2 linked regions of the Macaca fascicularis genome follow. The protein of the gene in region 2 interacts with the protein of the main gene of each other region in a pairwise test. Links are inferred from orthologs where the notes say so. Each region holds a gene or a part of one and is shown on either strand. Other genes may lie near its edges.

Evidence for each region. The genes of interacting proteins can lie anywhere in the genome.
Region 1: the proteins of APOA1 (region 2) and APOC1 interact in a two-hybrid assay, tested with the Homo sapiens proteins (2 studies listed by BioGRID, with this or other methods). The link is inferred for Macaca fascicularis from reciprocal best matches to the Homo sapiens genes APOA1 and APOC1.

What each region holds. Positions count from the first base shown.
Region 1 is NC_088393.1:52,945,682-52,951,548, forward strand, and holds the start of APOC1 (apolipoprotein C-I, basic form), read left to right. Parts: upstream 1-2,588; 5' UTR 2,589-2,614; intron 2,615-2,748; 5' UTR 2,749-2,768; coding exon 2,769-2,826; intron 2,827-3,599; coding exon 3,600-3,735; intron 3,736-5,867. UniProt on the Homo sapiens protein: Inhibitor of lipoprotein binding to the low density lipoprotein (LDL) receptor, LDL receptor-related protein, and very low density lipoprotein (VLDL) receptor.
Region 2 is NC_088388.1:115,687,602-115,693,076, reverse strand, and holds APOA1 (apolipoprotein A-I), read left to right. Parts: upstream 1-2,189; 5' UTR 2,190-2,243; exon of another isoform or gene 2,244-2,330; intron 2,331-2,441; 5' UTR 2,442-2,461; coding exon 2,462-2,504; intron 2,505-2,676; coding exon 2,677-2,833; intron 2,834-3,422; coding exon 3,423-4,026; 3' UTR 4,027-4,083; downstream 4,084-5,475. UniProt on the Homo sapiens protein: Participates in the reverse transport of cholesterol from tissues to the liver for excretion by promoting cholesterol efflux from tissues and by acting as a cofactor for the lecithin cholesterol acyltransferase (LCAT).

The DNA of each region.
Region 1 (5,867 bases), on a different chromosome or scaffold from region 2:
CCTTGCTCAGTCGGCCATGCTGGAGTGCAGTAGCACGATCATAGATCACTGCAGCCTCCAACTCAAGTGACCCTCCTGCCTCAACCTCCTGAGTAGCTGGGGCTACAGGCACCCACCACCATACCTGGCTAATTTTTTCTTTTTTGAGGCGGAGTCTCACTCTGTCGCCCAGGCTGGAGTGCAGTGGCACCATCTCGACTGACCACAACCTCCAACACCCAGGTTCAAGAAATTCTCCTGCCTCAGCCTCCCAAGTAGCTGGAATTACAGGCGCACACCACCACACGAGGCTAATTTTTGTATTTTTAGTAGAGACGGGCTTTCACCATGTTGGTCGGGTTGATCTCCAACTCCTGACCTCAGGTGATCCACCCGCCTCGGCCTCCCAAAGCGCTGGAATTACAGGCGTGAGCCACCACGCCCAGCTATATTTTAACATTTTTTGTAGAGATGGGGTCTTACTATGTTGCCCAGGCTGGTCTCAAACTCCTGGGCTCAAGCAGATACTCCTGCCTCAGCTTTCCAAAGTGGTCGGATTACAGGTGTGAGCCACCACGACCAGCCGACCTATGAAGACGTCTAAGCAGACAGGGTGCCCTATCTCACTACATCCCCAGTCAGATCCAGAGGTGATGCAAGGATGGGAAGGAGGTTCCAGAACAAAGGCTGGCAGGGAGTCGTATGGGACAGGAGCTGATCCAGCAACAATCCAGAGAGATATCCTGGAGCCTGGGAAGGAGAAAGACAAAGAGCCCCTTTTTTTTTATTTTTTATGTTTTTGAGACAGAGTCTCACTCTGTCACCCAAGCTAGAGTGCAGTGGCACAATCTCGGCTCACTGGGACCTCCACCTCATGGTTCAAGCGACTCTCCTGCCTCAGCCTCCTGAGTAGCTGGGACCACAGGTGCACACCACCATCCCTGAATAACTTTTGAATTTTTGGTAGAGACGGAGTTTCACCATGCTGGCCAGGTGGGTCTCCAACTCCTGACCTCAAGTGTTCCGCCCACCTCGGCCTCCCAAAGTTCTGGGATTACAGGCATGAACCACTGCAACCAGCCAGTAGCCCCCATCTTTGCCCCTCGCTGAGCCCTACTGGATGTTCTTGGTTGGGCGACAGTTTCCCCATCTATAAAACAGAAACTCCTAGAGCAGAGGAGAGGATGAGGCTGGAAAACAGGAGCCCTGTTGTTCCATTCTTGTGGGGTCAGGGAAGCAGACATCTGGGTGGATGTTTGGGGAATGTTGGGCTCAGTTGGGGAAGTAGGGGGGCCTCTGGGGCTGACAGGGACTGGAAGCTCTGAACTGGCCAGAGGGATGTTGCAATCCTGCCAGGGTCTTGTCTATGCTGTCCCTTTCACAACCATCCCCCTACCGCCAGGCTGACACGTGGTTGTGGGGGCACAAGGCCAGCCAACCTAGAGTCTGAGGCTGGGCCGAGGACACCCTCCCCACCAGCTGCCAGGGTCACTGGCGGTCAAAGGCAGCTGGTGGGGAAGGAATTGGACTCCAGCCTTGGGGGACGGATGTGGTGATGGGGGGAAGCAGGCTTGGTGCCAGGAGGGGCCTTGGAGGGTGAATAAGAGCAGATGGAGTGTTGTGGGGAGGTAGTCAGGCAAAGGGGGTGAGTCCTGGTGGAAGGGAGGAAGGGGCATACACTCAGAACTTTTCAGCTGAGGGTTTTAACTTTTTGAGATAGGGTCTCACTCTGTCCCACCAGGCTGGAGTGCAGTGGCGCAATCATATCTCACTGCAGCCTCGAACTCCTGGGCTCAAGCAATCTTCCTACCTCAGCCTCTTGAGTAGCTGGGACTACAGGCATGCGCCACCACACCCGGCTAATTTTTGAATTTGTTTGTAGAGATGAGGTTTCCCTATATTGCCCAGGCTGGTCTCGAACTCCTGGGCTCAAGCGATCCTCCCTCAGCTTCCCAAAGCGCTGGAATTACAGGCATGAGCCACCACACCTGGCTAATGCAAGTGAGGTTTTTACAGTGTCGTCCAGCTAAGGTGACCCCCTCACAAAAAAAGGGACACTGAGAACCATCAACTTAAGAGCCCAGAGAGTATCAGGGTGGTCTGAGGTGCTTCAAGGGCTGGTCTGAAAGAAATTGGAGGTGGCACGCAGGGTAGGAGTGCGGGGCCAACTGAGACCCCAGCAACATAAAGGAAAAGTTGTTGGGGCTGAGGAGGCTTGCTAAGAGAGGGGAAGTGGGGGAAAGAGGTGGTCTAGGGACATGGTGTGAATGAGGGGCGGATGAGATCACAGGGTTATTACTAGAAGGCCCCTGAGGAAAGATGTCCACAGGGACAGGACGAGGCTGTCCTCTGAGTGGGGAAAGGGACTGTAGTAGTCTGAGGACCCCCCAGAGTCAGGAAGATTGGGAGATGAGAATGCTGAACCGTAAGGGGCTCTGGGGCTAAGGGAAGTGCCCGGGACCCCACCTGACCCCAACGCCCACGGGCCAGGGACAGAGGAGAAAAACGTGGGTGGACACAGGGAGGCAGGCTCAGGAGGAGGGAGATCAACATCAACCTGCCCCGCCCCCTCCCCAGCCTGATAAAGGTCCTGCGGGCCGGGACCTCCCACACCAGCCCTCCAGGAAGGATTCAGGTTGGTGCTGAGTGCTTGGGAGGGACACCAGCCTCCACTCTGCAAGAACTCAAAAAAGGGAGATGAGGGGATCGTGGGAAGGAGGGAGGGAGGACGGTGCCACTGATCTCCTGCACCCCTCCCTCTGCCTCCAGAGTGCCCCTCCGGCCCCGCCATGAGGCTCTTCCTGTCGCTCCCGGTCCTGGTGGTGGTTCTGTCGATGGTCTTGGAAGGTAAAAGTGGGATGGGAGAATGCGGAGTTGGACTTTTGGAAGAGTGAAGGTGGCTACAGGCCGGGGGTCCCGGCTTAGAGGACTTCTGAGAGCTCTGGGGCCCCTTCTGGGTCGTGGTTGCCCCATTGTGGTCGGGTGGGTCTCCAGGTTCGCCCAGGCTCAGTTCGGCAGGCGCCAAATCTGCCCAGGAGAGCCCTAGCAACCGATGACGTATTGACGCCCACACCTCTGGGATTGGCTGTCCTGTTTCTACAGCCTTGAAAGTGGGTAAGCGGGATGGGGGGCTCCGGGAGGGGTCGGTGCTGAGTAAGGCAACTCCCAGCGGCTTGAGCCCCACTAGGTCACTCCAGTATCCTCCCCATTCTAACCACATGATCCCCAAAGATCTCCTTATCCATCCCGGGATCCCATCCTAAGGGGGTTCCAATAACAAATTTTTGGCTGGGCAGGGTGGCTCATGCCTGTAACCCCAGCACTTTGGAAGGCCGAGGCGGGCAGATCACTTGAGGTCAGGAGTTCGAAACCAGCCTGGCCCACATGGTGAAACTCCGTCTCTACTAAAAATACAAAAAATTAGCCGGGTATGGATGCACGCACCTGTAATCCCAGCTACTTGGGAGGCTGAGGCAGGAGAACTGCTTGAACCCAGAAGGTGGTGGTTGCAGTGAGCCGAGATTATACCACTGCACTCCAGCTTGGGCTACAGAGCAAGACTCCGTCTCAAAAAAAAAAAAAAAAGAAAAATGTTGAACCCCTGCCCATATTCCTGGCAGGCCCAGCCCCAGCCCAGGGGGCCCCGGATGTCTCCAGCGCCTTGGATAAGCTGAAGGAGTTTGGAAACACCCTGGAGGACAAGGCTTGGGAAGTGATCAACCGCATCAAACAGAGTGAATTTCCTGCCAAGACACGGTTAGAACCCTTCCCAGGGCACAGGAGGGCTGGGTTGTGTTTTTGGGTGGAGCCCTGGAGGATGGTCCAAGATGAACAGATTGAAAAAAAAAACAAGTCCCAGAGAGGCTGACAACGTCCCTCTGGTCACACAACTAGATCTCAGGGTGCTTAGACTTCAGGGACAGTTTCCCTGACTCTCATCCAGGCCACATTTTAAAAGATGGTCTTGGGCTGGGCACCGTGGCTCATGCTTGTAATCCCAGCACTTTGGGAGGCCGAGGTGGGCGGATTGCCTGAGGTCAGGAGTTCGAGACCAGTCTGGCCAATATGGTGAAACCCTGTCTCTACTAAAAATACAAAAAAATTAGCCAGGCGTGGTGGCGTGCGACTGTAATCCCAGCTAGTCAGGAGGCTGAGTCAGGGGAATTGCTCGAACCAGAAAGGCGGGGGTTACAGTGAGCTGACATTGCGCCACTGAACTCGGGCCTGGGTGACAGAACGAGACTCTGTCTCAAAAAAAAAAGATGGTCTTGTCCAGGTACAGTGGTTCACACCTGTAATCCTAGCACTATGGGAGGCTGAGATGGGAGGATTGCTTGAGCCCAGAGGTTCGAGACCAGCCTGACCAATGTGGTAAGATCCTGTTTCTATTAGAAAAAAAAAAAGATGGTGTTGTGAGATAATGAAAATGAAGGATCCAAGCTTGGCCAGACCTGCGTCCCCAGGCTGGCGTAGCACCCCTTACTTCCTGTGTGATCTTGACAGAGGGTCATTACTGTCAGCCTCAGCTTCCTCTCCTATAAACTGGTGGTTCTGCGGGGAAGTAAAGGAGAGGGCCTACAGGGTGTCTGGTACATGTAGATGCTCAGTACATCATCAAACCCACCCTTGCTCCCTTTGGCAAGTTAGAGAGTCATTCATTCCTTAAAAAATATTTATTGAGCATCTGCTAAGTGTTGGAAACTGTTTCAGCGTGGGGAATAAACAGTGAAGAATGTGCAGAGCACAGTGACTCACACCTGTAATCCCAGCACTTTGGAAGGCTGAGGTGGGTGGATCACTTGAGGTCAGGAGTGCGAGAACCCCGTCTCTACTAGAAATACAAAAAAAATTAGCCGGGCATGGTGGCCCACGCCTGTAGTCCCAGCTACTTGGGAGGCTGAGGCAAGAGGAACCCTTGAGCCCAGGAGATTGAGGCTGCAGTGCGCCATGTTTGTGCCACTGCATTCCAGCCTGGGTAACAGAATGTGACCCTGTCTCAACAACAACAAAAAAAAAAAAAAGAAAGAAAGAAGGAAAGAAAAGAAAAGAAAAGAAAAAGGAAGGAATCAAAACATCGAGCCAGGCCTAAACTTAGAAAGATTGTTTGGAGGCCAGGCACAGTGCCTCACACCTGTAATCCCAGCACTTTGGGAGGCCAAGGCAAACGGATCACCTGAGGTCGGGAGTTCAAGACCAGCCTGACTATCATGGAGAAACCCCGTGTCTACTAAAAATACAAAATTAGCCAGGCGTGGTGGTGCATGCCTGTAGTCCTAGCTACTGGGGAGTCTGAGGCAGGAGAATCACTTGAACCCGGGAGGTGGAGGTTGCAGTGAGCTGAGATCGTGCCACTGCACTCCAGCCTGGGTGACAAGGCGAGACTCTGTCTCAAAAAAAAAAAAAAAAAAAAAAAAAAAAAACTCCTGGCACGGTGGCTCACGCCAGTAATCCCAGCACTATGGGAGGCCGAGCGGGCAGATCATGAGGTCAGGAGTTCAAGACTAGCCTGCTCAACATAATGAAACCCTCTCTGTACTAAAAATACAAAAATTAGCTGGGTGTGGTGCCAGGCACCTATAGTCCTAGCTACTCGGGAGTCTGAGGCAGGAGAATCGCTTGAACCTGGGAGGCAGAGGTTGCAGTGAGCCAAGACAGTGCCATTGCACTCTAGTCTGGGTGACAGAGCAAAACTATATCTCAAAAAAAAAAAGAAGGGGTTGGTAGCAAGAGATGACAGGCCTTGAAAGCCAGGTCAGGGTGAAACGTTTCTTATTTTTATTTTATTTTATTTTATTTTTTATTTTTTTTTTTTTTTGAGATGGAGTCTTGCTCTGTTGCCCAGGCTGGAGTGCAGTGGCGCGCTCTTGGCTCACTGTAAGCTCCGCCTC
Region 2 (5,475 bases):
CTGGGAAAGACCCATATCTCAGCAACTGCAAGTTAAGGTCAAGCAGAGAAATGTGGGATTGCTGCCTTCACGCCTGCTGCAGAAGCTGAGGTCTCAGGTCTGATACAGCAAGTGTACTGGGAATAAGGGAATACAATACCAGAAACTGGGATTCTAGAAAACACAATAGTTACTGTTTACTAAGTGCGAGGTACCTTTCTAACAGTTTTGCATATATGTTCAAATTTCATGCTTAAAACGATACAAATTTATTACCTTACAGTTAGGGAGGACAGAAGTCCAAAATGGGTCACACTGGGCTAAAATCATGGTGCCAGCAGAGCTGTGCTCCTTCTGGAGGCTACAGGGGAAAATCCTTTGCCTTCTCCAGCTTCTAGGGAAGGGCTGGCCATGCCCCTCAGCTCATGGCCCCCTTCCAGCAGTCACATGAGTCTGACCTCCGCTGCCATCCTCACATCTCCTTCTCTGACTCTGAGGCCCCGCCTCCCTCTTGTATAACTAAGGACCCCTGTGATGACAATGGGCCCACCTGGAGAATCCAGGCCAACCACCCCATCTCCAGGTCCTTAATCACACTGGCAAAATCTTTTTTTGCCATGGAAGGTAGCAAAGCCACAGGTTCCAGGGATGAGTATGTGGACATCTTTGGGGAGCGTTATTCTGCTTGCCACACAGTAACCCCTGCCGTAACTCTGGGCGATGGCATGTTCTATCATTATCTTCAATCAGAAACTGATGTGTGGGGAGGTGACGTATCATAACTCATCCAGGGTCACACAGCTAGTAAGTGGCAGAGCTGGGATTCAAATCTAAGGTTTTCTGGCTCCAGAATCTTCTCTGAAGTGAAAGGCATGAGGCCGACCACTCCCTGATCTGGTAAACAGAGATGTCAGGCTGGTTTGTGGTGTTAGGGAGTTTCCTGGGGTGATGGTACAGGGCACATGTCTGCCCTGCATCCTAAGTCCAGAGACTGGGTTCTAGGTCCAGCCTTGCGTCTAACTCCCTGAGAGATGAGAGCCTTTGGGCAAAGTCCCTCCGTGCTCTTCAGTCTGTTCATCTGTGAGATGGTGGCGTGGGAAGGGGCTGGAGTGATCTCACAGTTCTTCTCAGCCTGCATCACGGGCTCTAGGACTCAGGTCCTGTCAGTAACCTGCTGGGGGAGGTCTGGGCCTTCCAGGAGAAACCTGACAAGATGATGCTGCAAACACGAACGGACACACTGCACTTTACGTTCACAGGCTGTCTCAGGGGCCTCCAAAAACCCTGACCATTCTTGCCCCATTTTGCAGATAAAAAACTGAGGCTCAGAGAGATTACATAACTTGCCCACAATCTTCCTCCAGCAAGATGGAGGCCAAGTGAAATGAGAAAGGTGGTCTCCTGCCACTTCCTTACCCGAGGGTCTTCTCCCCACACCAGGGCTTCCCGAGGGCTGAGATCCAGTCTCACGTGTGCGTGATCAAATGTAAGTGTGAACAATGCGAAGGGAGACGTCTTCAATCTAAGGGGCTTCAATTCTGTAATGTAATTCTGAGATTATGCCCTTTTCTTTTCAAGTCTTTCCTTTTTGAAGTGATGGTCTTTACAATATCTTTACAAGACAGAATTAAAAGTTGGCAGCTCTGAATTACTCTCAAGAGTGTTTTGATGCAAGAGGTCTCCGAAACCTCAGTCTGGGAGCCACGGAGCGCTCTCCCCTCTCCCCAGGTTTACCAGTTTGGGAGGCTTGGAGAGAGGCCTGGAGGACCTGCTGGGGACTAAAGAAGCGCACTGGTGGGAGGACAGGATGGGGGGAAGGGGAAGGGGAGTGAAGTAGTCTCCCTGGAATGCAGGATGGTGGGGGAGGAGGTCTCCTGGGTGGAGGAGTCCCAGCGTCCCTCCACCCTCTCCTCTGCCAACACAATGGACAATGGCAACCGCCCACACACTCCCATGGAGGGGAAGGGATGAGTGCAGGGAACCCCGACCCCACCCCAGGGACCTGCAAGCCTGCAGACACTCCCCTCCCACCCCCACTGAACCCTTGACCCCTGCCCTGCAGCCCCCGCAGCTTGCTGTTTGCCCACTCTATTTGCCCAGCCCCAAGGACAGAGCTGATCCTTGAACTCTTAAGTTCCACATTGCCAGGACCCGTGAGCAGCAACAGGGCTGGGGCTGGGCTTATCTGCCTCCCAGCCCAGCCCCTGGCTGGAGACATAAATAGGCCCCGCAAGGGCTGGCTGCTTAGAGACTGCGAGAAGGAGGTGAGTCCTGCTCCCTGCTCCGGGTGACTCTGGCTCCCCAGCTCGAGGGTCAGGCCCTGCTCCAGGCCGGGCCTCCGGGTACCTGAGGTCTTCTCCCACTCTGCGCCCTTCTCCTCACCTTGCTGCAATGAATGGGGGAGCACGGGGCTTCCGCATGCTAGAGGCCCCCCACTCAACCAGCCCCTTCTTCTCCTCCAGGTCCCCCACGGCCCTTCAGGATGAAAGCTACGGTGCTGACCTTGGCCGTGCTCTTCCTGACGGGTAGGTGTCCCCCAGCCTAGGGAGCCAACCATCGGGGGGCTTTCTCCCCAAACCCCTGTGGCCCACCCTCCTGGGCAGAGGCAGCGCCCTCTCCCCCACCTCCAAGCTTGGCCTTTCGGCTCAGATCTCAGCCCACAGCTGGCCTGATCTGGGTCTCCCCTCCCACCCTCAGGGAGCCAGGCTCGGCATTTCTGGCAGCAAGATGAACCCCCACAGACCCCCTGGGATCGAGTGAAGGACCTGGTCACTGTGTACGTGGAAGCACTCAAAGACAGCGGCAAAGACTATGTGTCCCAGTTTGAAGGCTCCGCCTTGGGAAAACAGCTAAAGTAAGGACCCAGCCTGGGGTTGAGGGCAGGGGCAGGGGCCAGAGGCCTGTGGGAAGATGTTGAAGCCAGACTGGCCGAGTCCTCACCTACTATCTGATGAGCTGGGTCCCACAGATGGTCTGGATGGAGAAACCGGAATGGGATCCCTATGCAGGGTCACAGCCCATGCCCCCTTGCAAAGGACAGACGAGGGCTGCCCGACCTGTGATCACAGTGCCACATTGTGCCTGCAAGTGTAGCAGACCCCTTTCCCTTCTTCACCACCTCCTCTACCCCTGCCCAGCAAGAGTGTGGGCTGTCTTCGGAGAGGCGAATGTGCTGGAGGCATAGAAGCGAGGTCCTTCAAGGGCCCACTTTGGAGACCAACGTAACTGGGCACCAGTCCCAGCTCTGTCTCCTTCTTAGCTCCTCTCTGTGCCTCGGTCCAGCTGCACAAAGGGGCATGGCCTGGCGGGGCAGGGGTTTTGGTTGAGCGTGTACTGGAAACGCAAGGCCACTGCACCTCCGCGAACAGGTGTTGCCCAGGGCTCACCCCGGTAGGCTGGGGCGCTGGGAGGCCAGCCCTCAACCCTTCTGTCTCACGCCCCAGCCTAAAGCTCCTGGACAACTGGGACAGCGTGACCTCCACCGTCAGCAAGCTGCGAGAACAGCTCGGCCCGGTGACCCAGGAGTTCTGGGATAACCTGGAAAAGGAGACAGAGGGCCTGAGGCAGGAGATGAGCAAGGATCTGGAGGAGGTGAAGGCCAAGGTGCAGCCCTACCTGGACGACTTCCAGAAGAAGTGGCAGGAGGAGATGGAGCTCTACCGCCAGAAGGTGGAGCCGCTGCGCGCGGAGCTCCACGAGGGCACGCGCCAGAAGCTGCACGAGCTGCACGAGAAACTGAGCCCGCTGGGCGAGGAGGTGCGCGACCGCGCGCGCGCCCACGTGGACGCGCTGCGCACGCATTTGGCCCCCTACAGCGATGAGCTGCGCCAGCGCCTGGCCGCGCGCCTTGAGGCGCTCAAGGAGAACGGCGGCGCCCGCCTGGCCGAGTACCACGCCAAGGCCAGCGAGCATCTGAGCACGCTCAGCGAGAAGGCCAAGCCCGCGCTCGAGGACCTCCGCCAGGGCCTGCTGCCCGTGCTGGAGAGCTTCAAGGTCAGCTTCCTGAGCGCTCTCGAGGAGTACACTAAGAAGCTCAGCACCCAGTGAGGCGCCCGCCGCCGCCCCCCTTCCCGGTGCTCAGAATAAACGTTTCCGAAGTGGGAAGCCGCTTCTTTCTTTTGGGAGAATAGAGGGGGGTGCGGGGACATCGGGGGAGCCCGGATGGGGCCTTTGGCCCTGAAGCAGGGACTTCCAGCCGGAGTTCAACAACTCCGTGCCCAGACTGGGCGTCTTAGGGCCAAGATCGACGTTGGAGGACCTGCTGGACGCCTGGCTGCTTACGAGTGAGGGAGTAGAGTCTGCCTTACCAAGGCTCAAGTAGAAAGGAAGTCACAGTGGACCAGGCAAAGCCACAGACAATCCAAGGCCAGCTGCCCTGAAAGGGACTCAGACAAGGCCTGCAGCCCTGTCTGGGGCAGGACAGGAAACAGGGTTGCTTTAGTTGGGAGCAGTGGGTTCCCCGTCCCCAGAGGTGTTCCGTACAGAGCCTTCTCCAGCCCAGTCGCTGTCAGCGGGGCGGGGCGGGGCGGGACGGAGCGGGGCGGCCTCAGGGAGTCACTGGGATTGGGGTGTGGCCCCGGGTGCAAGTGAAGTGCTTGGAGTTTGAGCGCCTCCTCCTTTATGAATTCAAAAACTTCTCGAACACTTCCCTCTTCTTCTCACAAGGCCAGTATCCCCCTCCCACTACTCCCATCCCACCCAGAAACAGCCACCGCTTCCTCAGGCACGGCAGTGTAAGCCAGCCCTCCACCCGCTGCGGCTCCATGCCATGCCACCGGCTCCATGCCATGCCACCCCCTCTTTCCGCTAGCCCTGGCAGAAGCTGGCCTGAGTCAGAAAAATCACCACCACCTCTTGCAGGTACATTTTTATTTCCGAGATGCTCTCATATCTGTGATCTCACTGCATCCTTCCTTCCTCCCATCCTGGCTAGATTGCCATCAGAGGCACAGCATGGATGAGGATGCTGAAACCTGGAGATGTGACGTCGCTTGCCCAGTGAACAGCAGGATGGGCTAGGCAGTGCTTTTTAGACCCTGCACCCCTGGCCATCCATGATTATTAAAAAGAGTGTGTGGGTCAGGCACGGTGGCTCAAGCGTGTAATCCCAGCACTTTGGGAGGCTGAGGCGGGCATATCACTTGAGGCCAGGAGTTTGAGACCAGCCTGGCCAATATAGTGAAACCCTGTCTCTACTAAAAATACAAAAAATCAGCTGGGCGTGGTGGCTTGCACCCGTAATCCCAGCTACTAGGGAGGCTGAGGAAGGAGAATTGCTTGAACCCAGGGGGCAGAGGTCACAGCCGAAATCATGCCACCACACTCCAGCCTGGGCAACAGAGCAAGACTCCAGGTAAAAAAAAAAAAAAAAAAAAAAGAGTGTGTGGCCTGGCACTCAAGTTCACATGGGTGTGCAGGCATGCCTATGTATTGTCACATGACCTCCCTGGTCACAGTCCCTCCTTGCACTCATGTCTGAATGTCCCCGCATGCATG